Tamandua tetradactyla: one gene and its partners. The protein of the gene in region 3 interacts with the protein of the main gene of each other region in a pairwise test. Links are inferred from orthologs where the notes say so. Each region holds a gene or a part of one and is shown on either strand. Other genes may lie near its edges. The genes, in order: FAM118A, ZBTB10 and MOB3C.

Region 1 (10,559 bases), on a different chromosome or scaffold from region 3:
CCTGAAATGAATTATTACCAGAAATTGCTTGTTTCTTAATGATCAAAATGCATTAATTGGCTTCTTGAAACCAGTGCCTCTGAACAGTTGCCTGGGCATATATGCCCAAAATAAGGAAACAATAAAACCCAACGCTAATAAAAATGTAAAGGACATATTTCAGTTCAAAGGCAGTATTAATTACTGCCACCTTTTTGAGCCCTCATTATATTTGAGGGAAAGTGCTAAGTACTTCCATGAGTTATCTCTTTTAATCCCCTCTGCAACACTAAGAAATATACTATAATCACCTCTCATTTTACACCAAGGGTTAGGCATTTAATATGAACCTTTAAAAGCTTGACAATCATAGTATATAGTCCTGCACTGTTCCTAACATCGAGGCTGCTCAGAATGGCAAATAAACATACCTGATATTTTCCTGCAGACCTTGCCATTGTTAAAGCTTTGCCCATCAGATGTGACGTGTCACCCAACTCAAATAAACATGTCACTTAATGATAAGCTAATAATGGTGAAACACCAAAACAGAGGCCAACAGCATGCTGACCCACCAGCATGTATCCACCCTGAGAGGAACAGGAGAAATTCCAGGAAGCAACCCATGAGGAAACTTACAATCACAGAATTTTAGATCTGAAAGGATCTTGAGGTTATACAGTGCCAAATACCCTAATTTGGTAGAAGTGGAAACTGAGACCCTAGGAGGCAACGTGACTTAGTCTAGGCTCCCCAAGGGCTAGGAGTGAGCTATAAACTAACTCCAGGCTCGTGCCCCACCCTCCACCACACCAGTCACTACCTGGCAAGTGGGAGTTCAAAATTCAGCTTAGACACTCGTTTACATCTCTTTGGCTGACCTGCAGGTCCACCTTCTCTCTTACCCAACTAGTTCTCCAAAACTGCAAAGAGAAATGGCCACCTTTAGGAAGCCTAAAGGCAGGAAGAAGCCTCAGGCCAAATGACCAGCGCAAAACAGTTTTCTTTTTGGTCTGTGCTTGCTTATCACACAACTGTCCCAGTTAACTTTACAGGGAGCAGATAAGGCAGGCCTTGCAGGGGAAACATCACCACCACCCAGATGGCCCCTGGCTCCTGGGGAAAGGAACACAGATATAGTGAAATGAGCAGCCTGAGAAGCTAAACCGACTGGGCACAAGTCTGTGTTCACCACTTAAAACCTGGGCACATAATTTACTCTTTCTGAGCCTCCACTGCCTTTACCTGTAAGATAAGAACAATGCCTTCCGATATAACTTTTACAACATGACTGCATGATTGTGAAAACCTTGTGTCTGTTGCTCCTTTTATGAGTAAAAAAAATGGATAAAATATAACCAAATAATAGAGGGGACAAAGGGTAAAATAAAGTGGGTAGACAAAGATACTAGTAGTCAATGAGGGGGCAGGGTAAGGGTTACGATATGTATGAGTTTTTTCTTTTTACTTCTTTTTCTGGAGTGATGTAAATGTTCTAAAAAATGATCATGGTGATGAATACACAACTATGTGATGATATTGCGAGCCACTGATTATACACCATGTATGGAATGTTCGTGTGTGAAGATTTATCAATAAGAATATTTTAAAAAGAACAATACTTTCACCTCCCAGGGTTGCTGGAAGTGTTCAGATGGGGTAACATTTAAGTACAAGCCTGGACCCGCAAGGGCATGTCCTAACTGGATTTCATTCATTAAAATTAAATAAAATTTAAAATTCAGTTCTTAGTAACACTAGTCAGGTTCTCAGTGTTCAAAGTCCCTGTGGTGGGGTGGTGAGGCAGTCACAAAACATGTTCAGCATCACAGAAAGCTGTACTGCACAGCGCTACGCTAGAGTCTCTTCTCCCTCACCCAAACAGAAATCCTGTAGATTTTCCTTCCAAATGTCTTCTGATCCACACTCTCTGCCACTGCCTTAAAGCCCTCACAGCTTCTTGTCTGGCCTCCTAAAACCCACTGCCTTCAGTTTCAGCCCCTCTAATCCCACACGGTCTCCAGAGTGATATTTCTAATGCAGCACATCTAAACTTGTCTCTCCTCAGCTTCAGCAGCTTTCCCTTTCCTGCAGGATACTGGCATCCAGCATCCAAACCCTTCCTGATCAGGTCACATCACTGGGAACCAGCCTCTGTTCACCGCACCCAGCTGTGCTGCATGTGCATCTCCTGTGGGATGTCTGGCTCCCTGTGACACAGACACTCAGCTGATAAGGCACAAAGGCTCTGAGCCCCGAGGTGAGAAATACAAAGACCTCGCCTAAAAGGAAGTACAAAGTACCTACGTCAATTTCCAGGCAGGAAACTGTAGGCTCAGACAGGAATGAGCACGTCTTTTGGGTCTGGACTGTAAGCTTAGCTATGCTTGTGGAAGTCATGGTCCCCACTGCCACCACCTGGGCCAGGTTCCCTACACTATTCACATGTGGCCCTGCTTCCCCCAAATAGTGAGAGCACTTCTTCAAACACACACACCACTCCTACTCATAGTTATACCTTTTAATGGCCTCCCACTCCCTTCTTCAAATCAATCCTCTACGTGGCTTCAGAAGCTCATATAATTCGGTTCCATCTGGTGGGTCCAGCCTCTGTGCTGGGCACACCCCTTTCGGATCCAACACTCGGCCCAATTTCCCAGATTCTCCCATTCTAGTCTACTCATTTCCTCGCTCCTTTCCACTGACCCACCATCTTCTTTCAGTCTCAGCTGGGATCTTCAGTGACTTGGGGCATAGGAGTAAAAGTGGTAACTCTAGAAAGCACCAACGGCACGGGGTGGGGGTGGGGGCTTCAGGAAACAATTCCCTCTCATACCAGCCTTAGAAAGTTGGGTTTGATCTTCATCAGGGAAACAACACATCTCCAGCCATCCCCCAGGATTTCTCTATGCTCCAGCCACATTTTTCCCAATTCCAAAACCTGATGGGCTTTGGCATGCCTCTCTGCCTTTGCCTGAGGTGGCCCTGGCAAACTTGTCCTCAAGCTCTACCTCCAATAGTCAGTTTTCCTGTTACCTATTATCTCTTTCCCTCCTAGAAAGCCTTCCTAACACGACCCCTTCCTGAGAATCCCACCCCCCACCCTGCTGGCTTTAATGCCACTATATTGTTATTGCCTTACAAACCACCTCTTGTCCAACCTACTCGCCCCACTCCCCTCCAACTAAGCCCAGAGAGCAGGGACTATGCCATCTCCATCTTCAGTGCTAATTCCTGGAGCCAACTGGTGTTCAGAAAAACGTTGGCTCTAAGAACGACAACCTCAAGACCTGCATGGACACAACCTGAAAGCATCCTGGTTTGCCCTGACCCCTTCAGCAACTTGGTTCTGCCTCCCACTACCACATCCAAATCTCCTGTCCTCTCCCTCTAGACTGCTCTCTGTCACCATATGAGTCTAACCAAAGAGCAGTAAAAGTTACACACTGTCCCTACTCTGGTTTCAATAGTATGGACACATGTAAATACACAGACACTGAAATCACAGCCAGTACCTGTTAGAAGAACGTGGACATCCGGGTGACCTGTTATATGCTTGCACTTCTTTTATATTATCGCTAAGGATTCACAAACCCAGGGAACTCCCTGGACACCGCACAGGTCCAGCGACCTCAAGTGTGAGAACCCTTGCCCTAGAGTTGGGCGCGGAGGGGAAGCCAAGGCAGACTGCTAAGCCTCAGGGTCGGTGGTCGACAGCTGCGGGCCAACAAGTCCAAAGGTTGGTGAAGGCGCTCCAGGGACTTCCCAGGGGCAAGGAGAGAAGGGGCCGGGGTCCTCCTCCGGGAAGGGGGTGGAGTCTCCGGGGCCAGGGTCCCTGCAGGGTGGGGGTCAGGAAGGGGGTCTGCGGGTAGGGCATCCTGGGGGGAGGAAGTAGTCCCATGGAAAAGGGGATTATGAGGGCTCGGGACCGGGTGGGGTAAAATCTTCAGCGGTCTCAGGGCTCGGGGGTCCTCAGTGAATCTTGTCGGGGTCTCGGGGCCCTGAGGCGGCTGGACGTCCTCAGGGAGTCTACGAGTCTAGGGACAATCGTGGAGGGTTTCGGGGTCCGAGGGTCCTGAAGGCTGTCAGGACTCCAAAGCGGTGGGGACCCAAGAAGGGTCTTGGGAGAGGAAGGGTCCTGAGGGCTCTCGGCCAGGAACCCCGGCCTCCCCCGACCCGGGCCCCTTACCTGCGGCGAATCCAAGTCGCTGGTCTCTGCTCGCACGCCCGCCTCCCCTCCTCGGCGGCTGACGACGTCTGCGCGCGCACCAGCGGCGAGAGCGGGAGGCGCAGCCCGAGCCCGACTGGTACCGCGTTCAGCCTCGCCTCCACGTTTGCCCGCCGCGGCGCCGCCGCAAAGCCTTCCTCCGGGGGCTCTCGGTCGCCGCGCGAAAGTTCCGCCTGGAAACCAACGGCTTATCGTGGTCCCGGGCCCCTCGCCCCGCCTCTCTGAGGAGGGGGCGGGGCCTGAGGCCACCTGCGCTCGTTCCTGCGTCTCTCTTTTGCATGTGCAAAAGGCGGGGGGGGGGCGGGCGCGCTCTGCCGGGCCCTGCTCAGCGTTGAGCAGGATCGAGGGCCCTGGCAGCTGCGGCCCGCAGATCACGCAGGCTCCGGCGGGCCACGGGTCCCTGCTTGCCGAAGCCGCCGGTAGCTCAGTGGCCATTGTCGCTATCCGGAATTCCGTCCCTTGATCACTGTCACTTCCCACTGGAACGGAGGCTCCTTGAGGCCCGAACATTGTCTGCGTTGTTCACCCCTGGACCCCCAGAGCTGGCACAGCCCTGGGCACACGATCGATGCCCAAATGCTTGGGCATGAGTAATCTTTCTTGTGCTATTCTTTCATCAAGAAATACGTTTTCAACCCACAGAACAGGAGAAAATACTTGGGAACCATATATCTGATAAGGGCTTAATATCCAGAGTATATAAAGAACTCCTACAACTCAACAACAAAAATACAAACAATTCAGTTTAACAATGGGAATAGAACTTAAGTAGACATTTCTGCACAGAAGACATACAAATGGCTGTAAGCACAGGAAAAGATGCCCAATATCATCAGCCATTAGAGAAATGCAAATCAAAGCCAGAATGAGATACAACTTCGCACCCACTTCAATGGCTATTATTTTGAAAACAGAAAATAGCAAGCATTGGAGAGGATGTAGAAAAATAGAAATGCTTGTGCTCATGGACATGTAAAATCGTGGAAAACAATTTTGCACTTCCTCAGAAAGTTGAGTATAGAATTGCCATAGGATCCAGCAATCCCACTTCTAGTTGCATATCCAGAAAAATTGAAAGGAGGGACTTGAGCAGAAATTTTCCCACCAATCTTCACAGGGCATTATTCACAATTGTGAAAAGCTCAAAGAAACCCAAGTATCTATCAACCAATGAAAGCAAAAGCAAAATGTGGTATAGCCATACAATGGAATATTATTCAGGCATAAAAAAGGAATGGAATTCTGAAACATGTGGGTGGTAGTTAGATTCAGTTGTCAACTTGACCAGGTGAAGGCACCTAGTTCTGTTGCTGTGGACATGAGCCAATGGTACATGAACCTCATCTGTTGCTGATTGTATCTGCAGTTGGCTAGGAGGCGTGCCTGCTGCAATGAATGATGGTTTGACTTAATTGGCTGGTGCTTAAATGAGAGAGCACAATGTAGCACAGGCCAAGCAGTTCAGCATACCTCATCTCAGCACGCGCAGCTCAGCCCAGGCCTTTGGAGATGTGAAAGAAATTACCCCGGGAAAAGTTGTTGGAACTCAGAGGCCTGGAGAGAAGGCCAGCAGAGATCAGTTTGTGCCTTCCTGTATAACAAAGAACCTCAGTTGAAAGTTAGCTGCCTTTCCTCTGAAGAACTAATGAAATAAATCCCCTTTTATTAAAAGCCAATCTGTCTCTGGTGTGTTGCATTCCGGCAGCTAGCAAACTGGAACAATGTGACAACATGGATGAACATTGAAGACATTACATTGAGTGAAATAAAGCCAGATGCGAAAGGACAGATATTGTATTATCTCATTTATATGAAATAACTAAAATAGACAAATACATAAAGTTAGAAAGTAGATTACAGGTTATGAGGGGTGAGGGTTAATGCTTCATGGGTCCAGAATTTCTATTTGGGGTGATGGAAACATTTTGGTGATAGATGATCGTGAGGATAGCACAACATCATGAATGGAAATTAATGCCAACACATCGTATGCTGGTAGTTGGATTGTAAAATGAGAAAGGTTATGTTGTGTATATATATAAAACCTCAATAAAAAAGAAAAGGAAAGAAATACACTTCCCAGGAGGCTGAGCAGGACACTTGCTTGGGTCTGGAGCCTGGTCTACCACCTGAGGGCTGTGTCTTCTCATCCATCTGCACCCCAGTTTCTGCCTGTAAAACCATGGTGCTAGCAGTACCTGCCTCTCGGGGTGATTGAGAGGACTAAGTAAGGTCACACATGGGCAGGCTTGGCAGAGGAGCATGCACAGGATTAGTGTCCCCTGCTATTCTTATGACTCGTATGTCCCCCTATCCAAGTCCTTCTCTGCCACTGGAAGTCTTTCTCTTCTCTGAATAAGAACCGATGGGCTCAGAAGCTACTTCCCCTTCCCGTCCTTCCCAGATCCACACACCCACCCACACCCTGGCCAAGCCACATTTAATTCTTACTTCCTCTCTCTGTATATTTTTTCCTGTCTAGTGTTCAAGTTGGCTGTTAACATCCCCCGGCCCACAGAGAAAGCCTGAACTTGTCATCCACATGGGTCTTCTGAGTTTTAGCAGCTTGTGAAGTTTGGGGGCCCAGAGTCCATAACACCAAGTGGTGAGGCAGCTGTGGGTTTCTGTGCATGGCAGCGCCTGCCAAAGCGCTTTGCATGTGCTCCTTCATCTGCATCTTGGAACAAGCCTGTGAGGGCACCACCCTCGTTCTCATTCCAGTTGAACAGACAGGGATGCTGAAGCCCCTTGAGGTTGCCCAGGCATCTGCGCACCCCATCTCCCGCATGTGTCACCATCCTCTCTCCATTCAGCTCCTCCTCCATGGTCACAGGATGGAACACAGTGCAGGGCAGCTCATGAGCTACTTCCGGGTGCAGGGGACCAGGACCTGAGAGAGGTGGCATGGGCTTGAGAACCGGACTCTGGGCTGAGTGCTGGCGGAGGCCAGACCCTGGGTGTAGGCGGCCCTGGGGCAGACATCCTTGAAGTTCCTGGGGTGGTGGAATCCAAGAAATCTATGCACAGGGTAGGCTATGCCTGAAACCCTCCAGCCAAGTCGGCCCCATCCAAAACACAGCCTGCAGGTCTCAGCCCCTGCACCCCAAATCACTGCCTTGCAAAGACAAGGCCAGCAGGAGGGGATGCCTTAGGAACAAACTCCCCTAACCCTTCCCCTCCCCTGTACTCAAGAGAGATGTAGGTGCCCTGGGTCCTGGAAAAGGACTGAGTGGGGCACTGCTACCAAGCCACCTTGACCATCCCCAGAGTAGATAAGGGATGGGCAGGGCTAGTTGGCAAGGTGTCATGGGAAGCAGAGGCGCCTATCCCGCCCATCCAGGTAAGCATGTCTTATTCAGTGTGCAATGGGCAAAGGATTGACTGTATGCATGTGACATGGCAAGGCTTGGCACCTCAAATACAGGGCCCAGATGCGAGTCCTCTCTGTGTTGCAGGTGGCCGTGATGGCATCAATGGGGGCTGCCCTGAGAGATGTGCAAATGGAAGTCATATGTGTGCTTGTATGTGTATACTACTATTTTTTAATTTCAGATTTCTGACCTCCAGAACTGTGAGAGGATACATTTTTGTTGTTTTAAGCCCCCCTGTCTGTAGTAATTTGTTATAGCAGCCACAGAACACTAATAGAGTTGCTATTTTAGAAATGAGGAAACTGAGACTCCAAGAGGCCAGGGAATTTGCCTGCGGTCCCTTGGCCAGTAGGTAGGTCAGTCAGACCTGTCTGCCTCTTTAGCTTCAGAAAGCCTGCCTGCTTTGCCCAATGCAGAGTCTTCCAGGAAGTAGAGAGGGTGCTAATACTCTCTGGGGCAATTAGAAAGTGCCACCCCAGAAGCTGAGTCCAGACCCAGCAAATGGGTAGAATGATTATTCATTTGTTCACTTACTCTTGGGTCCCCAAGAAGGTTTGCTCATCTTCCTTAGATCAGTTTGGTCCCTTTAGCTTTTGTATCAGGAGCTGTGATTAAGGCCTCTTATAAGCTGGAAGCTCCAATCTCCTGGGACCTCCATGAATCATGCTGCTGGAAAGAGGGCTGGACTCTACTTCTTTCACCTATGACACCAAATGTGGGAAGCAGCTTGTATAGGAAGGGGGCTCAAGCCACCTGTAAGACCTGCTTTTCAAAGGGGGGGTGGGAAGTATCCAAGCCTACAGAATGAGCATGCATGTGATTTTCTGTAGTGTTCAGAAAGTTTGATTATCTTAATAACGTTTTGCAAGTTGGTTTCCTTCCTTTGTCTAAAGATTTGAATTTACTTGGGTTTGCATTAAAGGTCCCATTTTGCAGTTGGTTTGTCAGTAATTCCCCATTAAAGCAAAGCCTGGATCCCATATAGGGGATGTAATTCTACTTAAGGGTCTTTTAAAAGCTGGGCAGGAGTGCATGGGTATTTCGGCAGCAGAGCGCCCGCCCACCATGCGGGTGACCCGGGCATAAGTCCTGGTCCATGCACCCAAAAAGAAAAAAAAAACCTCAGCAATAGTAGTCCCTGAATCTAGAAGGAGACACCCCAAGATATACTGGGTATGAACTCAGATGTATGCCCACAGAAAAGAAAGAAAACAAATAAATAATGAAATAGAAATAAAAATAATTTTAAGAAATAAAATAAAATAAAAATTAAATAAAAAGACAAACCTAGGCAGATAGGGAGTTTGCCAGACTGCACTGACTACTTCTTCCTAGAAGATGGTGCTCTTGAGCCACGTCCTCCTCCTCCCCTCAGGCTCACCTGGAATGGCCAGCTGGGCAGGATGGCATGCACGGCAGGACAGCTGGTCCCAGCACTGGGGACAGGGCAGTTGATCACAACATCTGGCAGATCTGCCGCCTGTAGCTCCTGACAGGATGGCCACTCCTGTGGGTGGCTGGCATGCCCCTGGGCTCCCTACAGGTACAGCCAGCTTCAAGGTTACGCAGGGAGTTCTCCCCAGCCAGCTGCTGGCACAGGCTAGATTGGAGATTGGTATCCTATAGGGAGGGACAGTCTTTTTCCTTGGATCTGCACTTCCCCATGTGCTGCCACCTGCCCCTGGTGGGGTCACAAACTAACAGATTCGCCTTGTTCTCCCCATCCCGACCCCCTTTCCTCTCTCTACCAGGACCTCCCTATAGAATGCTGAAGACCCTCCTTGATCAGTCACCCCCTGGGTTGCAGTCCCTGTCGTCTTTTCCTTCCCTTCTCTTGTTTTCCCACGGAGCAGGAGTGAAATCAGCCTACCCTACTCTGCCATCTTCCTGCATCTTGCATGAGTTTTTAACAATGGCAGACCTTGCAGAGGTTGTGCCCTCTCTGCTTCCCTTGGGGATTGTGCTGGTTTGAAAGGATGTATGTCCCCTTGAAAAGCCATGTTTTAATCCTAATCCCATTTTGTAAAGGCAGCCATTTCTTCTAATCCCTATTCAGTATTGTATGTTTGAAACTGTAATCAGATCATCTCCCTGGAGATGAGATTTAATCAAGAGTGGTTGTTAAACTGGATTAGGTAGAGGCATGTCTCCACCCATTTGGGTGGATCTTGATTAGTTTCTGAAGTTCTATAAAAGAGGAAACATTTTGGAGAATGGGAGATTCAGAGAGAGCAAAGCAGAGCGACATAGCCACAAGAAGCAGAGTCCACCAGCCAGCAACCTTTGGAGATGAAGAAGGAAAATGCCTCCCAGGGAGCTTCATGAAGAAGCCATGAGAAGAAGCTAGCAGATGACACTGTGTTTGCCATGTGCCCTTCCAGATGAGAAAGGAACCCTGTCCGTGTTCACCATGTGCCCTTCCAGATGAGGAAGAAACTCTGACTGTGTTTGCCCTGTGCCCTTCCACTTGAGAGAGAAACCCTGAACTTCATTGGCCTTCTTGAACCAAGGTATCTTTCCCTGGATGCCTTAGTTGGACATTTCTATTGACTTGTTTTAATTGGGACATTTTCTCGGCCTTAGAACTGTAAACTAGCAACTTATTAAATTCCCCTTTTAAAAAGCCATTCTGTTCCTGGTATATTGCATTCTGGCAACTAGCAAACTAGAACAGGGATACTTAGGGGAAGTGATCGAGGTCAGCTTTAAAGAAAGCAAAGTTCTGGTGAGAATGCACAGGGAGGGAAAGCAGCGGGAAGTCCCTCATGGGGCTGAAAAGAGGGTCTGGGGGATTGGGGAGGTGGTCCAGGGCACACACAGTCCTAGTTGTATCTAGGAGGCAGCACCCACCACTCTCCCCTCCTACCTGCACTACCCAGGCTTCAGCTGACCCTGCCTTAGGCATCCCCTTCTCTGGCTTCTGCTTCCCGACTTTTCTGCTTCTGACTCCTCTGATGACAGTTGCTTTGGATCTCCAATGT
Region 2 (10,317 bases), on a different chromosome or scaffold from region 3:
AAAATTAATAGCCATTTTTAAGCTGCTTCCAATTTCTCTGGTAGAACAGATTACTGTCTTCCCTTTAGTTTCCTCGCTGTACCCAGAACATACTTCTAACAAAAAGTACCTGCATTATTTTATCATCCCGTTTGTCTTTTCTTGCTAGTCCACAAGCTCTCTGAGGACAAAGAAAATATTTATAGGTCTTTATCTCCAGTGCCATGCATGTACCTTTCATAGGTAAATTAAAGAGCAAGAAAGAAGCCAATCATATTATACTATAAGAGCTAATAAAACATATCATTTTCCTACAACTTGAAAAACACAAGGGAAATGAACCATCCCTTACTGAATCTCATAAAATGAGTGAATGTTATAACCTATATAAATAACAAGAATTACACAATGTTAATGGTCCATAGAGTCATCTTTAATATCTATTTCTGCTTCTTGGTGAAAGGTCTTTCCAACTTTCTTCCTAAATTGTTAAAAACAATTTTGTTGGGCCTTATTTTTGCAAAATACAAAGAAGGCTGGTTATCTCTGCTTCACCTTTGCTCCAACTGTTGGCATCCATATATATTTTACACAAATCACTAGCCTAAATTCTGAATTTCTGAAATGTTTACTAAATTTACATAATAAGATGGGTGAGTGCATGTTTTAGGCTTAGAAAACTGGAGTTGATAGAATGAGTGGCTTAGGCTATGAAAATTGCACAATTGGGTAGAAGGTGGCATGAAGCAAGATACAGTAGTAATCACTGTTACTGAAAACAATTTTAAACTCCTCTGAGCCTTATGGTTAAACCCAGAATGAGTTAATCATTGAACTTGACTCTGAGATATAGTCAATTGTTATCCAAAGTAAGAACTAGATTACTTCTGTCCTTATAAAGAATAAAGGGATAACTTGGAAGTGAAAACCCCAGAACATAAATTCAGATAGCATGTTTTAAAACTTTCCTGTGAGTAAAGCCCTTAGCATCCAAAATGCAATTAACAGAATTAACTTTTTAAGAACATGCTACAATTCTGATCACAACCAAGGAAACAATGAAAATGGGCTTTTCATTACAGAAAGCATAAATAAAAGCAACCTTTAATAACACACAAAGATTTGGCCTAATGCTTTTCAAAGAAGATGCTTCTTTGAAGATGTCTCAGGATGTTTAAGGAATCTGATGGTGAAAGTCTCTGAAGCTATAAGAAGAGTAAGTTTGCTCTCTACAATCGAGAAGAATTCCGTGACAGAAAGTGGCTTCCAAACTGACAAAATTGGTGACAGTGAGACAGAAGGTACCAGGCCACAAACACTTCATTACTGATACTTGCAAAAAACAGGTTATGAAAATAAAAAATGGCTATCATTTTACTAGGGGACTATGTGCTGGCATATATATACTCTGCAAAAATTAATCCTTACAGTAAGGAAAGTACAGTAAAATTAGGACCCAGATCCACCTGACCTTAAGCCCAAGAATGCTCTTACAGACTGTGTCACACTGCCTCCTACTGGTAATCAAAGTCTACAGGGCAGCGACATCTGACAGAACTCTGCCCACTGGAAGAAATGGAGAGATTTCATGAACCTATCAGTGATAAGACAAAGAGATACGTAAATTGTACCTGGAGCCAATGGCAAGATATCTGTAAAATATCCCTAAATTTATTTAGACTGAAATTAGGAAGATTACTATATATATGAATAAGATTAATTCCAAGTGAAAACATGCAAAATCTAACCAGGGGACCAATATATACTTAGACAAACATGACTTACATGCCTTAGACAAACAATGAGGAAACCGTATTGTCCTCAATCCAATGAAAGAATGTCCTAAGAGAAAGAAGATGGCCTATAGATTTATCTACAAAAAGGGGAGTCTGAAGGATAAAAGGGGGAAAGGAGGGATAGTTCAGAGATTAAGTTTTGAAAAGGCTTCACCTAGGACTGAGTTTCCCGATGCCAGTACAAGCCCGTAGGACACATCACGTTAAATTTACCTCACGGTTATCTAACTGATTCCCCTTTCTTTGATTTCAGGTTCACTAAACAGCTATCTAATTATAATTTGCATTTCCATTCAGGTTTGCCCACAGGGAGAGGCTATGCTGATAAGGAGTAACTGGTTCCACTACAGATTAAGAAAATGCATTCTAATTGCCTTTTTAAAATTTTGTAAATAAACTACCATTATTTGGAAAAGTAAACTTTTTGATTTCACAAATCCCCACATCTGCCATCTTACTAAATAACTGCAAGAATAAATTACTTAACCTTTAAGGCCTCAGATTCCTCTTCTGTAAAATGGGAATAAAAAATACCTTACAGAGTAAGGTTAATAAATGCATGCCTGGCACACAGAAGACAAGGAAATGTTAAGTCTATTTCATTCCATTCTGCCCAAGCTTGCAAGTCTAGTAATTGCAGAAAGCTGAGACCGAACCCACATGTACTTTAAAACTCATTCTTTTTCAGTTAAACTATTGCTTGTTGGCTCTCCTCTCAGTTATTCCCAAGGACCCTACAAGTAAGGACAATGTTACTTAACCTTTCTGGGCATTATAAAGGTGATCTTTCTTCTAGGGCTTAGGCAACTGAAATTTGTGCAAAAACTAAGCTACATTATCTACTGGGAAATATAACCCTATGTTTTAAAAGGTAAAGCCTAACTTCTGAAAAACTTTTGTGCCATGCGATTGGACGGTGCCTAATTAACTTCAGTATAAGTGTGCTGAATGGCAAGATCACTCAGAAAACACTGAAGGACTAATACCCGAAAGGGTTTTCTAAAGCCAACTGACTATCTGACTACCTACCAATACGAAAGAATGAATTCCACCTACCATTATGGATTGCCTAAAATCTGAGGACTGATCAAGATCTGTCTGCTTTGAAAAGTGATATCAAAATGATAAGACTAGGTAACTATCTTTCAACTTGAAATGTTAAAACACAGCCTAAGAATTAAAGAACAGCTTACTTTACTTATTACTAAGGACTTAACTATTCAAGAAGTGTGGGTAAATTCTATCAGTCTAAATCAACTATGGATACAAGTAACTTCACTTAAAACCGTTCTAAATGCTAAGTTTAAAATACTTAACGTAAACTGCATTTATAAGCAACTTTTTGAAAAGGTGAGCTATAGAAAATCTCACAGCACAAAAAAATCCAGGTAGATGGAGACAACATAAAAGTGCTTTAGTTTAACAACAGCAAGCCCCCCCCCTCCCCCAGGAAATTCAACAGAGATGGTTTTAATTAAACTATTCACAAGAGCAAGGAGCGTTTTCCAAAATAACTTCCTCCACATCACAGTGCTCTCATATCAACGTTATCCTGACCTGTTAGAATTTTTTTCGGTTGGATATTTTCCTGAAAGGGTTAAAGTCAACGGTTCAGGAAAGTGTTGCATTCTTCAGCAAGCTGCCCGATTTGACTTCCACCAACATATAATCTTAAAAGACTGAACATAAGGCAGCTTCTCTAAAATCACAGCTAATAAATTGTTGACCGCAAAGTCAATCTTTTAGGTTAAAAACAACAATCTCAACTTTCTTAAACTTTCTTTCCATTCAATCTGAAGAGACAGCAAAGAAATCGGAGTCATACAAAAATCAGGAGAAATAAATCGTGCGTTACGATTAGAAAATTGCCATCCACCATCCGCCCGTTCCCCCTCCACAGACACAACTTTTGAAAACTTGTTCCCAGGCTTTTTCAACTCCCCCCTCCCCACCCCCTCGCTTAAGCTCCCTGCATCTCTTCCAAATGGAACGACGTCTTTACCCAGGAAAATGGAGTTTTTAGCTGATGAGCCTTTACCTAGAGATCTGAAAAAGTAAGAGCAGGATATACGGTACCTGGGCGTTGGCTTCATTGAGTTTGTGCTCGGTAGAAACGTGGTGCCTCAGCAGAAGGGTTTTCTTGTAGTTGCGGGTCCCTCGGGAAAGCTCGTCATGCCCCACTTGGGGAGGATCCCCGCTTCCCCCGTCCTCAGGGGTCTTTTGGCACCACCCGCAAGACATAAGGCCAGTATCCTTGGAATACCGCAGCCAAGGAAAGTCTTTGAGCCAGGAGTTCTGGAAGGAGCAATGCAGCTTCTGCATTAGGGACTTGGGCCGCGCGAGCGGGAAGTGCTGGACAGTCTCCCCTTCGCCAGCTCCCACACCGCTGCCCTCCGCTTCGTCCCCGCCATCGCCGCCCGACCGCCTGCTGCTGCTGCAGCTGCCGCCTTCCGCCCCGCTGCCATCGCCCAGGCTCGCCCCCTCCTCCTCGTCCTCGGTGCTGTCGCTCAGGGACGCGCCGTCCTGCATCAACTCCTTCCCCTCCAGCGCGTCCAGCTCGAGTTCCACAGTCGCCGGCCCTCGTCCGTTGAAATGCCTCAGGGGCCAAGCCGAGGTATCGGGGCGGCCGCGGCTGCTGCCATTGTTGCCGAGACCCCCGCCGCCGCCTCCTCGGAAGGCCAGAGTCCGACGGTTCCTTTCCGCTAGCAGGGGGCCCCCCGCGCCACCGCCGCCCAGCGTGGTGGGGCCGCCCGCGTCTTGGGGGAGCAGCAACTCCTTGGTTTCCTCGGTGGCGGCGGCCGCCCCGGCGGAGGCCTCCAGGTCTTGGGGCTCCAGGCCCTCCAATTCCACTTCCTCGTCGGCCCCCCGCCCATTGAGCTGCTGAGGCGCTGGCGGCTGGGGCTGTCGCGGCTGGGGCTGGTGAGGCCAAGCCGAGGCCTCCCCGCCAGCGTTATTGTTCGTGGAGCCACTGCTACTGCCGCCGCCGCTGGCGGTGACCAACCCGCCTCCTCGGAACGCCAGCGTCCTGCGGTTCATTTCACTGAACGACATGGCGCGCGCCGCCGCCCGGTGCCCCGGCTCGCGCCCGGCCTCGGGCCGCGTCCCGCGCGCTCCCCGCAGCTCCCCCTCCGCTTCGCCCCCGCCCCGCCCCCGGCGTTCGGGTCTCGCGGGGCTGGGGCCCGGCCTCGCCCTCCCGCCCGGCTGGCTGGCTCTCGCTCCCGGGGCTGCCTCACGAGTCCGCCACCGCCGCCGCCCGCCGGGCCGCCGCCTCCGGCCGCTCTCCTTGTCCTCCACCTCCGCCCTGCTGCGCTCGGCGCAGCGTCCCGCGCGGAGAAGGGAGGCGGACGGCGGAGGTGAGGAGCTAGCCGGGGGCGCGTGGGGCCTTCGAAGTTGAGAGGCGGAGTGAGGGGGGACCCTCCGCTGCCCCCGCTTTAAATCCCCACGCACACACAGACCCTCCAAAACAGATATCCTTCCTCCGGCGCGCCGAGGGGTCCCAACGCCGCCGCCGGCTTCCGAGGAGCTGAGAGCAAGAGGCACGTTAAACTGCTGGGCTCCGCCACATAACGAACCGACAATAAAGCCGGCGGAGCGTTTCCGTCCGACCAGGCCCCGGCGGAGGTCGAATGGCAAATGAACAACGGACCGTGAGCCCACAATGCACCGGGGTAGCAGTAACCGCTGGAGGGGGAAAGGGTGGGGGCCGGGCTGGGGGAGGGGGCTGGGCTTGGGGCTGGGCCGGGGTGGGGTGGGGGCGCCAGGGGACCGGGAAAGGGGCTGGACCGCGCCTCTGGCCTGGGGGCGGGGGTGCGGCCGCGGGGAAGGAAGTCGGCGGACGCGCGGGGGACAAAAGGCCGGGCGGCAGACTGGGGGTCTCGTCTCGGGGAGGGGGCGGGCGTGTGCGGCCGGGGCGGGCTACGCGGTGGACAAACAGCTGGCGAGTGTCAGGGTCTGGCCACCTCCCCGCTGCCCACACGCACCTACCCGCGCCCGGGACGCACATTTTCCTTCTCTCGCCACGAGTTCACCTGGGACTTTGGAAATAATTGTGCGGTGGGCGCTGCGCTCCAGCCTTGTCATTTGCTCGGGGGGTGGGTGGTGGTGCCCAAGGAAGTGAACTTATTTTGTTCCTTCACAAAGACTGGACCAAGGAGTGCCTTTCACGCGAGGAGGTTGCAACCATGGACACCTCCTTCTCTGATGCATTGTGTGTGCGAGGCGGCACCTCGGGCCCAAGGCTGTAATCATTTCACAGAAAATGCACCGCCCCGAGTGTCTTATTGCTGTGATGAAATGGAAATTTAAATAAAAGGTCGAACACGTGCGTTCACTGGGAAGTATTGACATGGGTGTTACATCACCAGCAGCCAATCAGATAACTCTAGTCGTGTTTATACTTCTACAACCACCTTGTGAGTATTACAGTATGTCATAACGTTATAAATATTAGGCAGGGTTTTCCCCAGGAGCGGGGAGGAGTCTGCTTATACGGACTTTTGCAGCTCGGAAGATGGTGTTTTAAGACAAGAATGAACTTTTAAGAGTTTTGGTGTTTTTTGTTTTTTAACTGTTTACATTGCATGTGGAATTTAGAGACCCTAAAAGAACAGATTGAGCTGGAATTTTTTAAATTCCTTACTATGCTAAATTTAGTAAATGTTCAAGTATTTAGGCTCCTTTTACTATTTTACAACGTGAAATGTCTTAATTTTTTTTTTCAAACCTTTCAGGTAAAAAAAAGATGTTCTCAAACTATGGAGGGGCTTTTTACTCTTTTAAGAATATATTTATTAAAAGTTGAATAGAAAAACTAAAATGCATCCAGGATACATTGTTGAGGATGAAAAATCATGTTTATATAGTAAGGTATATTTTTAAATTTAGTAATAGTAGTACATTAAGGTGTGCATAGAAAAAACTGAGGAATACTTATGAACTCTTTACAGTTGTATCTAGTGGGAGGGGCTGTTCTTGGGGCTGTAAAATTTCTACATTGTTCACTTAAAGTTATGTGTTTTAAACAGAGCTTATGTTACAGTTTTTAGGCCTTCTAGTTTTATGTTTCTTGATTTCAAGAACATAAGCATATATTTATTATTCTTTTTCCATTTTAAAAATAACAATATTGTATATTGTCTTTTAAAGACTTTGACTATGTGCTGTGAAATATGTGTTTTAGAAGATTAATTAAAAATTTTCCCAAATATATTATGAACTACCATTTATATTAATATTCTTTAATGGGCTAAACACAGGCATTCACATCCAAACTCATGAATATTAGTGATTGCATAGATGTATTCAAAGCAGAACCCACCTAATTCACTGTACTTTTAGCATCTTTATAAATGAGCAGTGTTGTAGATCAAACAAAAAAACATAAGTTCTACCTTATAGAGTAAACGTAATTGTAATGTAAAGATTAACACTAAAAAAATAAAAAGAATAGCATTACTAACCTGCCATACAAAGATTTTGGCTTTGAGTTGTTTTCCCAGAATGATCACATAGCACTCATCTGAGCCATCCACGTTGTCTGCTGGCCACTGGTAATCAAGAGCATGAAATTATAAAAGGTCCTCAGGGTGGTACGTTTTGTGGTTGGTTGTTTTGTCTTGCTTTGTTTTATTTATATGAAAGTTTACGACAGTGGAACCTGTGACCTTGACCCAGTTTGTGACCTGCAGTTGTGAGATTATATCCACTTGACTGTATGTAATATGTGCTTCCATGTAATACAGGAACGAATAATATCATGCTTTGTCCTTCAGTCACTTGTTTTGTTTTATAATTCCAGGCACTTTGCATGGAAATGGATTATCTATTATATTTTAACCATAACAACCCTCTCCCCTGTAAAAAGGGAAAAATTACTGAAGTTAATTACCTATCTAGGTTTGAGGAAGTGTTAGGAACTGAAAATGGATTTAAGAATTTTTCTTCAACATTAAAGTTTATATCCGTTATAAAACGGTTAAGTTCAAATCTTTACATCTATTCATCTTTTATGCCTAATACATATTTTGTAAGTTTAGGCTATTTGTATTATTTGTTCTTTCTGTTAGTTCCAGAATCACCAAAAATGTTTTGAATCCATAATGCTGCTAATTGTATCAGGAGTGATAAATTTCCCAGACATTTATCTTGTCTTATATTTTATAAGATCCCCATTGTCTTCTGTCTGGAATTAGGTTTAAGCTTGGACTAATTAGGAAAGAATGACACCAGTTTCAAATGGTATAAACAAATGGCCTAAAATTGTGGAAATCTAGGACCAATGAACTATTTAACAGCCAAACAGTGTTGTATGTATATGTATATATATGTATATGGGTTTATATATTTATGTGTGTGCATGTGTATGAGTTTTCTTCTCTAAACCCTGAGGGAAGATCGAATCAGAACCAAAGATCACAGGGATAGTAATGGCAATCTCACAGAATACCCTATACCAAGGGAACTTTAAGTAGCAAAAGGGGATCTCCTACTCTGTAAATGGAGTTTTTTTAAATTCCCCCACACCTTCTAGTCTCCTACTAGCAAGCAGGGATCTGTTCTATACTCTAAATCCTGTATTTGCTGTTGGGGTTCTACCATATTTAAGGGAATTCCCCCTTATTCTTACCAGGGGAACCCCTCAAGAATGGGGCATCCCCAACCAATTTGTCCCCAGATTTCATTTGAGAATGTAAAACTGATACCAGCCCACCTTAACTGTGCGATGGGGCCAATGTCCTATACCTGATTCAGTTCATCTTTCATAGTTGAGCGTGACTGTCTGTAACTGCCTGAGTAGATGAAGCTTGCTACAAACACTTGGCTTCTTCAGATGTGTGTAGAATTCACATGGGTCATCCACCAAAATGAAGTACTTGAGGATAGGGACCATGCATTGTACACTCAATACATGCCTTACCCTACCCACTGCCATCCCCAGCCTGCCATGTAGTAGTAGACAATTAGTAAATATTTATTGAACAATTTGCTATACCTTCCCTTGCAAACTGTTTTGGCAAGCAACATTTTCTTCTGTTTTATTTCAGTTAAGTAAAAAAAAAAATCTTTAAAGGTATCAAGCTAATGTTTCCATTGCATTTACATTAAAAGCAATGATAATCATATAGTTGAATATAAATATCTTACTGTATTATTAGTGCTGTTTACTGTGCAGTTTACAGTAGATTACAAAAATTCAGCTTACACAACCTCCTTGTGAGTTAAATCATGGTGGATTTTTTTTTTGGTAGCAGAAAAGTTAATGAAAAAGTTACACAGGAAGTGGAGTTCCCATATAACCACCTCCCGTACAAGCAGTTTTCCCCATTAACATTTCACATTAGTGTAGTACGTTTGTTACATATGGTGAAACGTTATTATTATGTTATTAACTGAAGTTTATAGTTTACATTAGGATTCATTCTTTGTGTTGTACAGTTCTGTGTTTTTTTAAAACTTTTGTAGTGTTAACCTGTATACAACATAAAATTTCCCATTTTAACTACTTTCAAGTATATAATTCAGCAGTGTTAATTTCATTTACACTATTTTGCTACCATCACTGAAACAGGAAGATATTTTCCTTATTTAACAACTGAGAAAACCAAGTACAAAAACGTTAATAACCTGCTCATGGTGATCAGATGGGGCAGAAGTAGATGTAAAGTTTGTAAGATTGCTAACAATATCCTCCAATCTTCAGTTACCCTTAGCTACTGAAGTACAGAGGATGCACTTAACAATGTTATGTCTACACAATTACAGGTTATACTGAATTTTTAACTTTTTTTTTCTTGTTCAAACATTTTCATAGGAGAAAGGCTTAATAGTAATAATACACAAAGGGCTCTTAAATCAATAAGAAAAAGAAATGTAGCAAAAGAAGAAAATGCACCAAGGATGTGTATTAGAAATTCAAATAAGAAATAAAGTGACTGGTAAACATGAAAAGATGTGCTGACTTGGCCAGTAATCAGAGAACTGCATATAAAAAAATATATACCAGTGATTAGATAAGATCACATATAAATATATAAATGAGAGAGAGAGAAGCTTATAGTCCCTAAAGCAGATACATAAGTCCATATGTGAATACAGGCATGGAAAGGAATTTAAAAGAAAGTTCATCAGAATAGGAGCAATAATTATGTCAGTAACAGAGTATTTCAGTTTTTAAGAAACTTTCTTAATACGTTTTTGAACTGTTATAGAGTACAATAGTGTTTGAATTATATATTGAGTATATAATCAAAGAAAATCAATAAAGCTGTTTTCATTTGGGGAGAAAGATGGTAACAATGAACTTTGATCATCAATGACATGTTTTTTTTTCCCCTTGTGGGGAAGAATACTATTCATTCTTCTTTTTCCATTTATTGTGAACCAAATTTGCCACCTGAAAATAAACGCATTTCAAAAGATAAAAACCATGATGTTTCTCTTCTTAGAAAACTCCAGTTCCTTTAAACATTATTTTACAAAAGCTTAAGTTTACATGCCTATTTCAGGGAAGCATCTGTCACAATATGCCAGACATTCTGGCCCT
Region 3 (10,223 bases):
CAGTGTCTGTGGCCCAACTGGGGTGGTCTCTGGAGGGACGGACACTCAAGCTTCAGGCAAGGAGAACCCCAAACTGGAAGCCAGGCAGTCCTAGCATAAGATGCCTAACTCTGAACAAGACATTTAACCTCTCTGAGCCTCACTTTTCCTCTTCTACAAAATGGGAATGAAAACCATGTCCCTGTCACACAGAGGCTGCATCAAATGAAATGCCTCATCTGCAAAATGGGCTCCTGGTGGCTCCCTCCCAACCTGGCCTGGCCTGACCCGGCTGTCGGGTGGCGCTCACCCACGCGTGTGGGGAACACGTCCTCGTCGTTGATGAGCCCCTCAATCCAGTCCATGAGCAACGCCATGTAGCGGGGCGCCGAGAGCTTGGCGGGCCGCCGGTACTGGCGCTCATCCTGCCAGCGGTACTCGTAGCGGGGCCCGCCGGCCATGACGGGACAGCTGGTCTCGCTACAGCGCTCAGCCATGGTGCCGTAGATGAGGTTGATGCGGTTGAAGAAATCCACCACATGCACAGCAATCCAGTCTTCGATGTTCTCACCGGGCGGCAGCCTCACCACGCTGCGCAGGTCCAGGCCGGACTTGAGTGAGGCCTGGGCTTTCTTGTACAGCTCAAAGCGCTCTGTGCCCGGCTCGAAGCGCTTCCGTGGCCGGAATGTCTTGTCCTTGGAGAACACCTGCTTCAGGCACAGGGCCATGGCCACGGCCCTGGGGATGTCCTGCCAGGGACAAGGAGAAGTTACAGAGTGGTCAGGACCTTACCAAATGGCTTTGACTTTCCAACACGTCATTTCCCTGTCACCCGAGAGTATTCAGTCCACCGCTGCACCCTCCCCTGGCATCTTGATGGGCCTCACCACTCTCACCCCTGCCAAGTCACAACCCCTCCCCGTCTTGTTTTGTTTCCCCTCTGCTGTTATCATGTCTCAGAGAGAGCTGGGCCTGGGCTCCTAGCAGGTGCTCATCAGACTTTTTGACCATCAGAGAGGTCACAGAGGCTCCTTGCAGTCCTGCTGGGAGGCAGGGGCCCGGACAAAATGACCTCTGGGAGCCCATTATAGGCCAGCTGGTACAGCGTGGGAGAGCCTGGCTGCATTGTGCATGGGGGAGGCCCCCCTGCCCCTGCCTTCAACTTCCTCTGGGATATCCCGTAGTCCATCTGGCCACCGGGGATTCCCAGGGAGCAGGACGGACATTTCTACCAAAAATGTCCTTTCCTTTTTTTAACCCTGAAAGAGGAAGGGGCCTTGATGCAGCCAGCTGGACGGCTTCCAGGTGGCTGCAGGGGCTGGAGGAAAGGGGACGGTGGCAGGTCTCCGAGGGCACTGTTTCTTCTGACAGTGGCTAGAAATCCTTCCCTCCAAGCCAGCCTCCTCCAGCCCCAAACCTGAGCCAGGCTCTGGCCCCTTCCATTGCACCTGACATTCAGTAGACAGTCTAAGAGCATCTGCTATGTGCCAGGCACTGGGTGGTAGTAAGAGTGTGGTTGGATCCACTCACCTGGGCCCATCTAAAGCTCAAACAAATCTGCTCTGCCTCTTAGAATTCAGGATCCCAGACTCAGAACAGACTTTGAGGACAGCAGTCAGAGCCCCAGGCTCAGAGGCAGGACTCCTGTGATCTAATCCCAGCTCCACCACTGACTTGCTGGGTGACCCCCGTAGCAGGCACGGATTTGGCCCATGCAACCTCCTGGGTCACTCCGATAGAGGCCAGATTTCTGGGACTCTCAGAATAGTCATTTCATCTCCCCTGTGAATTTGTGAGCTCTTGGGAAATATAAACCCAGGCTATGGGCTGAGACTAGAATTTAGCCACTAATGATTACAGGTTAAGTTTTGGGCTCTGGCCCCAGGCTGAACTCTGACCTTACCTTGTCCCTGGTCAGTTTGGGTACAGACCCTATCCTAGACTGAGGCTTGATTACCACCACCAACAAGGCCTGACCTTGGCCTCAGCCAACTGGTTGACACTGGAGCATCTTCCTTCCTCACATCTCTGGTGATGGTGGGGCAGGATTGGGGAAGGGATGATGGAATTAAGGCAATAATGGGCGAAAAGTGGGAGTAACCAAACACATGGATTGGTGGGGGTCACTTCAGGCATGAAGTCAAGCTGGCAGAGGAACTGTTTGGAACAAATGTCCTTCTTTGTACCCATAACAAGCAGGCCAGAATGAGCGACAATCAAGTGACATGAGGGGGATTCTGGAAGGTAGGGCACGTCTCCCATCAGGATCTTGTCCCCACGGAAATTAAAAAAAACCCACAGGTGCCATCGTATCCATCTCTCAGCCCCTCGACTTTTCACCCAAGATGTCTACAGGGTGGGACCTGAGCTTCCCGACCAACGAGGAGCCTATGTCCCTGCTTTACTTGCTGTTCCCATTCTAAATTCCGCTTTATGGCAGGTGCTTCCCAAATCACACCCACTGCAGTTGGATGGGGGTTTCTGGGCTCTCCACATTCATGTGGCCCCCTCTACAGTTACAAACAGACCCATCCTCAGGCATTCGACACCTCACCCCACCTTTCCTGGCCCATGTCCCATCTTCCTATGCTAACTGCCCTGGGCTTCTTCCTGATCCCTGAACGCATCCCACACTCTCCTGCTGTGTGTTTTCTTACACTGGTCTCTCTGCTTGACGACAGGTTGAATGCTACCTCCTCCCACAGCCCCACGGTCCTGCTTCTCCTTGTTTGGAGACTACTCTTTCACCATTGCTGCCCCCCACCAAGTCCTTGCCCCAGCACCCTTCCAGAGCCTAAGTCAGGGCCCAGCACATAGTCAATGCTCAGGCTTTAAGGAAAACTTAGAACCAGAATCTTAGAGTAGGAAATAGCCCTGAGAAATCAGCTAGTCCAGCCCACTTCTTGTACATTCTTGTACAGTCTCTGGGGAAACTGAGACCCAGAGAGGGAACCTGAAAAGCTTGAGGTCACACAGCTAGTTACAGGCAGGTTTGGGACAAGGGGGCAAGGCTTAATCCCTCACTCCGAGTAAAGAACTATTTATTTTTCTTTGTGGGATGGTCTGGTAGAGAGATAGGGAGAGGTGAGGAGTGGGAGGGGAGGGGAAACATCTTTTCCACCAAAGGGAACAACCTACTTCCTGTTCTCCAATACACCCACCCTCCCGCAGTAACTGACCAGTGAACTTGAAACAGGTCTTCTCCCCAGGAACATGTGAGCTTTTGGAGGGAGGGGGGTTTGGACACAGGGCAGGAGCCCTTCTATCCATGCAGCTTGTCTCCAGTCCCTCTCCCTCTCCCTCTCCCAGAGCGCCCTCACCCGCGCCTACTCTCTCTGGTGCGCATCTGGGCTTCCCAAAGGAAGAAGGCAGGACGGCCCTGCCTAGTTCCGACTTTTAGCCAGAGCCACACCTGCCACTTTCCGGGCCTGACCCAAATTCTCAGCAGGTTCATAGCCCCAGTTTGAACCAAGAATCCAGCCTGAGGCTGTACGATGTGGGGAGCGCCGTGCTGACAGGAGAACAAGAGACAAGAAGAAGCCGAGACTCCATGGTCTTTCCCGCGGCGCTCGGCCACCCATGCCAGAACTCTGCCTCCCCCTGGACCCTCTCACCCCTCCTCTGACCCCGCCCAGCTGTCGGGCAGGATAGGTTTTAGGACCCAGAGGAGCCAGCCTGACATTTCCGCTCTCGAAGACACGCCCCCTCAGCCACCGCCTCCCCGCCCCACCCCACGCGCCCCCAGCCCCAACTTTCGGAGTCGTGAGCCTCAGACCCCGGACCCGGGACTGTGGCCCGCCTGCCTTCGAACCCAGGTCGCCTCTGGACGGCGCCACGCCGGGCAGCCCAGGAAATGAAAGTGGAAGCAAGGCGGGCGCGCGGCGGGGACGCGGGCGGTCGGGGCGCTCACTCGCGGGCTCCGCCTGGGTGGGATAGGTCGAGTCCTGCTCCGGCCGTGGGGGTCACATCCCCAGCGTGCTGGGCCGCCCTCCGTCTGCCGATCCTCCCGGTGCGGGTCCTCTCGCCTGTGGCTTCGCCTGTCCTGCCTGGCCGGCGGTCGCTCTCCCGCCCCCAAGGCGACGCCAGCTCCGCCCCGGCCCTCCCGACCCCGCCACGCCGCGGCCGAGGGGCGGGGAGGGGGCGGAGGAAGGGGTCCCCCCCTCCCCAATACACAGCCACGCTCAGTCCCGCCTTTCCGGAAAGTCCATATCGGGCTCCCAGCTTCCCGCTGGGTAAAGGACTGACTGAGCCCTCTCGTAGTCTTCTTGGGCCTCTACCAAAGAAGCAACCTCAGCTTCCTCGACTGTAAAATGGGAACAAGCCCAGCTTCGTGGTGCGTCAGGGACATGAAGTGACAGACTAGGGCAGAAACAAAAGAGCTGCTAGACAAATGGTTTCCTTATCCTTCTGGAATCATGTGTCTCACTTGTACCTGAGCTCAATGGAAAGGATGGGGTCTGTCCTGTCCATCTTCAGCTCCTGGCAGGGTGTCTGGCTAGGACGGCAGACATTTCTCATTTGCTGAATGAATGAATGACTCAGGAATTGTGAGCTGAGCCCCTAAGGCCCAGCATTGGCCCCTAAGACTGCTCAGTTCATAGACTTCTCCTTCTCTGCCAGGGCTGGGGTTCCTGATCAGTCTGGGTGGATGGTACTCTCCACTTGAAGTCACACCATTTCCCACCTCCAGACCTCTGTCCTGGTTGTTCCCATTTTGGAATGCCTTCTTGCCCTCCTGCAAGACATGATCCCTCCTCCCTACTTTTCTACATGGGTTTCTCCCCTGAGGGCAGATATAACATACCTCAATGCACACGTGGCCCCCAGGCCCAGGGACTAGTTGAATGTCTGCATCATGGGATAGGAGGGAAGGCTGGCGGCCTTGCAGGCTGGGAGGGAGAAGTCACCCTGGAAGGGGGGAAGTGAGAAGGGAGGGGGAGGGGGTGGGGGAGGAGAGAACTGGGAGATGGCCGTGCTGTTCTTCCTTTGTGTCTGGACCTGTTGTTCACTCGCTGGCATGAGGACACATTGGATCCTTAAAAATCCCAGCTAAGAGAAATGAGGAGCCATTCTTTTGTTGAGCATCTATTTTTGCCCCAGTCTAAAATTCTGTGTATTTTTATGTTTGCTTCTTAACTCTGCCCCTAATCCCCTATAACCTAACATTTGCACGTCCTAGTGTGTAAGGGGCAAATTCAAATGTATTCGCTATCCTAATCAATATCGTCCATCAAGCATGAGTCTGTTGCCTGATTAGCAGGGAATTGGGGGATGAAGCTTACCCAGTTGCTGACCTCAGGAGCTGACAGACTGGCGGGGGGTGACAACACACACAAGCCACACAAGGTCAGAGCTCAGTCATACAGCAGTGAGAACAGGGCTGTGGACTGATGCACTTAGAAAGAGTGGTTTTCTGCAGGGAACACATGGACCATTCAAACTGGGTATTTTGAGGAGTGTTTCATGAAGACACTATTTAAGAGTATACATGGATAGTGTACCACCAAAGGGCTGGCAGCAGCAATGTGTAGCTGTTACCCCCAAATGGAAGGAGCGAGGGGAAAAAGAGAGAACTATGAGAACAGGGCTGACTGACAGGAGCTGTGGCCTAAGATTGAGGAGCACACCCAGCCCACAGCAATCACAGGGAAAGCCTGGGAGTAAATCAGAGCCTCCCTCACCTCCCACAGGCTCATCTCCAGCCCAGTTACTCCATTGACTGAATCCTAGCAGAAGCCAGGAACGAGACATCCTGTGACTTGTTGACATAACCCATAGAGGTTGACTCCCTGGGGTATAAAGCAGGGTGGCAGAGGGTGGAAAGGGCATCTGGAGGGGCAACAGAAGATACTTGGCATAGTTGGGGTCGGAGCTGACTTCACAGAAATTGACTTAGAAACTGCTTAAGCTTTCCTTATCATTCGGTTCTAAATATTTCATGATTTCATTGTAATTTCCTCTTTAACCCATGGATGATTTTGAAGTATGTTTTTAGTTCCTCAACATATGGGAGGTTTATGTTTTTCGTGGACTTCTAATTATATTGCATTGTGGTCAGAGATCATGGTTTTCAAGATTCTTTGTAATTTGATGTGACCTCTGTGGCTTTGTGCATGGTGAGTTTCTGTACATCTGAGCTGGATTTTGTAGGCTAGGCAGAAGTTTGCCTGCTAAAGGGTGAAAAGTACAAAATCTTACATGGTGGGAAATAGAGATAGATCCATTTTAAAAGGACTTCAGAAGTTCCAGGCTATCTGCAGAAGCCCTAGATGTATGCTTCAGTGTAAGCTGACAGGGTGGCAAGGCGGGATGGGAGGCAGGGAGAAGGGTTGGGGATGGCCAGAGATGGATCTCTCAAACATCTGGCCCTGCTGCTGCTTCTCAGTCTGGGCTAGAAGGATCATGTTCTTCCAGGAGGTTCTGCTGGGGCTGGGAAGAAACCCAGACCTTGGAGTAAAAGGTTCTGATGAGCTGTGTGACCTTGGGTTAGTCCTGACTCTCTAACACACCCTATAACCTACAGCACTGTGCATCTACATAAGACTGAATATTAGTAACTCCCTAGGGGCTCCAACAAGGGCCACATCTCTGAAGCTTGGTGGGAGTGTGGAGGTGTGCAGGGAGGTTCTGTCCAGCCAGGAGTCAGTGAAGACCTGGGAGGGTATGTACCATCTTCTACTGCATAACCCAGGCATATGGGAGCTCTGAGTTGCACTGGGGTGCTGTCCAGGACCAGGTGACCTGGGATCCTGTTCTGATTCTGTCACTGTTGAGCTGTGTGTCTCTGGGAAAGCCCTGCCCCTCTCTGGGCCTTAGTCTCCTCTGCACCATGAAAGCATCTTCCAGCCTTACTATCAGAGCCAGCATCCTGCCCCTGCCCATGCTGGGCCTGTACCCAGTGGCTCCACTGAAACAGAGTGGCCTCTCCCTGGGGGGCTCCCAGCCCCATTTATGCCAAGAAAGCCCCCACCCATCCTCAGATCCCTCTAGGAATGAGCTACCATGCTCCCAGCTCCTCTAACCAGGCATCTGGAAGCTCCTACAGACTGATCGGGCTGAACCCTCTCCTACTCTCCTTCCTATGGACAAATGCCTATTTCAGCTTCTGCCTCTCCCTGTCCAGGAAGTGGGATCTCCCATCTTGAATCTTCCAACCCGGATGTCGAGGAGGGAGCAACAGACACCCACATAGCAGTAAAAGGAACATCCTTTAACTTGAAGAAGACAGGCTTAAGGGTATATGACAGAGGAAGACAAGGTTGAAAAGGATGTACATTCAAATTCTGTGTGACTTGAAGAAGGTACTTACCCTCTCTGAACATATATTCCCTTCTCTTAAATAGAAATAACATCTGCCCCACAGAAGAACCATAATGATCAAATGTGATAGCCCCTGTAAGCAGCAAGGACTGTGGCCAGTCTGTTTTGGAGGTGCTGCCTTCAACCCCCCAGTGGGTTTTTGTGTAGAAGAGAGCTTGAACTTCTTCTCCGTGGTCCTGGAGGGCAGTGGGCAGAGATCCAGGACCATAGGAGGAGACAGTCGGTACATCAATGCTGTCCAACCCTGCAGCCTGGATGGTTGTACTCACCTTCCCAGCTCAGAGATCTCCAGACTCCATGCTCTCTGCTCCAAGGTCCTCCTTTCTTCTGGTTCCCCACTACCCTTGGGGTGGAGACCTCTTCAGCTTTAGGGTCTTCTGTCTTGGGAAGGAGACATCTGGAGGCTGTGGTGGAAGCCTGGTATACAAAGAAGTGCCTTAGGACAGTATCACAGCCGCCCTGACCTGATCCTCAATATGGCCCACCCTGGTGGGTGGTGTCCCTTTCCCAGGCACATGCTCTCTGACCATTTGGGTTAGTGCTCAGCTCGGGGTGCCCAGGAGCAGAGGTGGTAGTAGGGGGGTAAGTATTTAGTGTCCCAAGTTCGGCCCTTCATAGGACTTTCTAAGAAGGTGGCACAGGAAGTTCTGCCGTATCTGCTCCTCCTCTCCTGAGGTGCTGCCTGGATCACTACCGCTGTTCAAAGCCTTTCTCTTACAGGAAGCCTCCTCAGATTGCCCCAGTCCCCATGGCCTTCTCATCCTTCCTCCACAGCTTTGTTTCTCCAAGTGTGTTTAGTAACTCCTGTCTCAAAGCTACCAGTGGGAATGGAGTGGTGGCCACAGAGCCCTTGCCTGTCTGATTCTGACCAATGCTTAAAATCTAACTACCACTTACAGGAAGTCCTGGGAATACATGAACACATGAAATGATACTACAGGGATAAAGGCAGCAGAATTCAGAATGAGAAAGTTTCTTCAAGATAAATTCGCAACAAATAAATGACAAGAAGATAAAAGAGGGAGGGGAAACCTGCAGGGATTTAAAATTGAATACTATTCAGGAACTATAACCAACAAACTGTTGATACTTACAACAACTAGGATAAGTATCAAGGCCATTATGCTGAGTGAAAAAAATCCAATCAAATTTTTATATCTATATGATTCCATTTATATAACCTTTCCACATGACAAAATTATAGTGATGGAGAGCAGAGCAGTGGTTGCTGGGTGTTAGGGCTGGGAGGAGGATGCACCCACGACAAGGTTGCACCCACGACAAGGTTGCATGAGGGGGTTTCCTTGGGTGATCACAGTTCTGTATCCTGATTGTGGTGGTGGTTATACAGATTGTATTACATAGGGTTTTCTAGAGAAACAGAATCAACAGGAGATATCTGTAAATATAAAATTTATAAGAGTGTCTCATGTAACCGTGGCGATGTAGAGTCCAAGGTCTGTAGGGCAGGCCATGAGCTGGCAATTGAGCTGACCTTCCAATGAAGGTCCTCAACAAACTCTCAGGAGACACTGGCTCGCTGAAGCAGGAACAGTGATCGTCTCTTCTGAGTCCTCCTTAATAGTATTCTGGTGATTAGTTTAAGCATCACTCACTGCAGAAGACACTGCCCTTAGCTGATTGCAAATGCATTCAGCTGTGGATGCCGCCAGTGTGGTCATGATTTAACTCCATGAAATGTCCTCATAGCAACGGACAGGCCAGCACTTGCCTGAGCAGACAACAGGGCAGCACCACCTGGCCAAGTTGACACATGAACCTGACCATGACACAGATCTATACATTGTGAAAAAAATTCATAGAACTATAAACCAAAGGGAAAAAAAGAAAAATTAGTCTTTAAAAAATGGGTAAAATTTGTGTAAGTTCTGTAGGTTTAATTAATTGCATTGTATTAATGTCAATTTCCTCATTTTGATAATTGCACTGTGGTTATATAAAATGTTATCATGTGTGAAGCTGGGAACAGGGTACACAGGAACTCTGTACTATTTTTGCATCTTCTATATGTGTAAATTTAAATTTAAAAATATATGACAAAAGACATAACCAATTGCAAGTTGTGGATCCTGTTTGGATCCTGATGTGAGCAAATCAACTGTAAAACATCATTCATGAGACAATTGGGGACATTTGAATATTGATTGGATATTTAATAACATTGGGAATTATTGTTCATTATTTTGGAATTGCTTTACTTTTAAAAGTAGTTGTCTTCTCCCTCTCATCTATGGACATTTGATCTTTGATAAGGCAGTCAAGCCAACTCACCTGGGACAGAACAGTCTCTTCAATAAATGGTGCCTAGAGAACTGGATATCCATATGCAAAAGAATGAAAGAGGACCTGTATCTCACACCCTATACAAAAATTAACTCAAAATGAATCAAAGATCTAAACATCAGGTCTAAGACCATAAAACAGTTAGAGGAAAATGTAGGGAAATATCTTATAAATCTTATAATTGGAGGTGGTTTTATAGACCTTTCATCCAAAGCAAGAGCACTGAAGAAAGAAATAATAAAATGGGAACTCCTCAAAATTAAAACTTTTGTGCATCAAAGAACTTCATCAAGAAAGTAGAAAGACAGTCTACACAATGGGAGACAATATTTGGAAATGACATATCAGATAAAGGTCTAGTATCCAGAATTTATAAAGAGATTGTTCATCTCAACAACAAAAAGACAACCAATCCAATTACAAAAATGGGAAAAAGACTTGAACAGACACTTCTCAGAAGAGGAAATACAAATGGCCAAAAGGCACATGAAGAGATGCTCAACGTCCCTGGCCATTAGAGAAATGCAAATCAAAACCACAATGAGATATCATCTTACACCCACCAGAATGGCCATTATCAACAAAACAGAAAATGACAAGTGCTGGAGAGGATGTGGAGA

What was found.
Region 1: the proteins of MOB3C (region 3) and FAM118A interact in binary tests that used the Homo sapiens proteins (3 or more experiments, as listed by UniProt). The link is inferred for Tamandua tetradactyla from reciprocal best matches to the Homo sapiens genes MOB3C and FAM118A.
Region 2: the proteins of MOB3C (region 3) and ZBTB10 interact in binary tests that used the Homo sapiens proteins (3 or more experiments, as listed by UniProt). The link is inferred for Tamandua tetradactyla from reciprocal best matches to the Homo sapiens genes MOB3C and ZBTB10.

Annotation. Positions count from the first base shown.
Region 1 is NC_135333.1:39,587,880-39,598,438, reverse strand, and holds the start of FAM118A (protein FAM118A), read right to left. Parts: upstream 4,359-10,559; 5' UTR 4,169-4,358; intron 3,697-4,168; exon of another isoform or gene 3,495-3,696; intron 1-3,494.
Region 2 is NC_135332.1:124,290,943-124,301,259, reverse strand, and holds the start of ZBTB10 (zinc finger and BTB domain-containing protein 10), read right to left. Parts: upstream 4,861-10,317; 5' UTR 4,827-4,860; coding exon 3,852-4,826; intron 1-3,851. UniProt on the Homo sapiens protein: May be involved in transcriptional regulation.
Region 3 is NC_135328.1:176,225,014-176,235,236, reverse strand, and holds the start of MOB3C (MOB kinase activator 3C), read right to left. Parts: upstream 4,102-10,223; 5' UTR 3,890-4,101; intron 729-3,889; 5' UTR 708-728; coding exon 290-707; intron 1-289. UniProt on the Homo sapiens protein: May regulate the activity of kinases.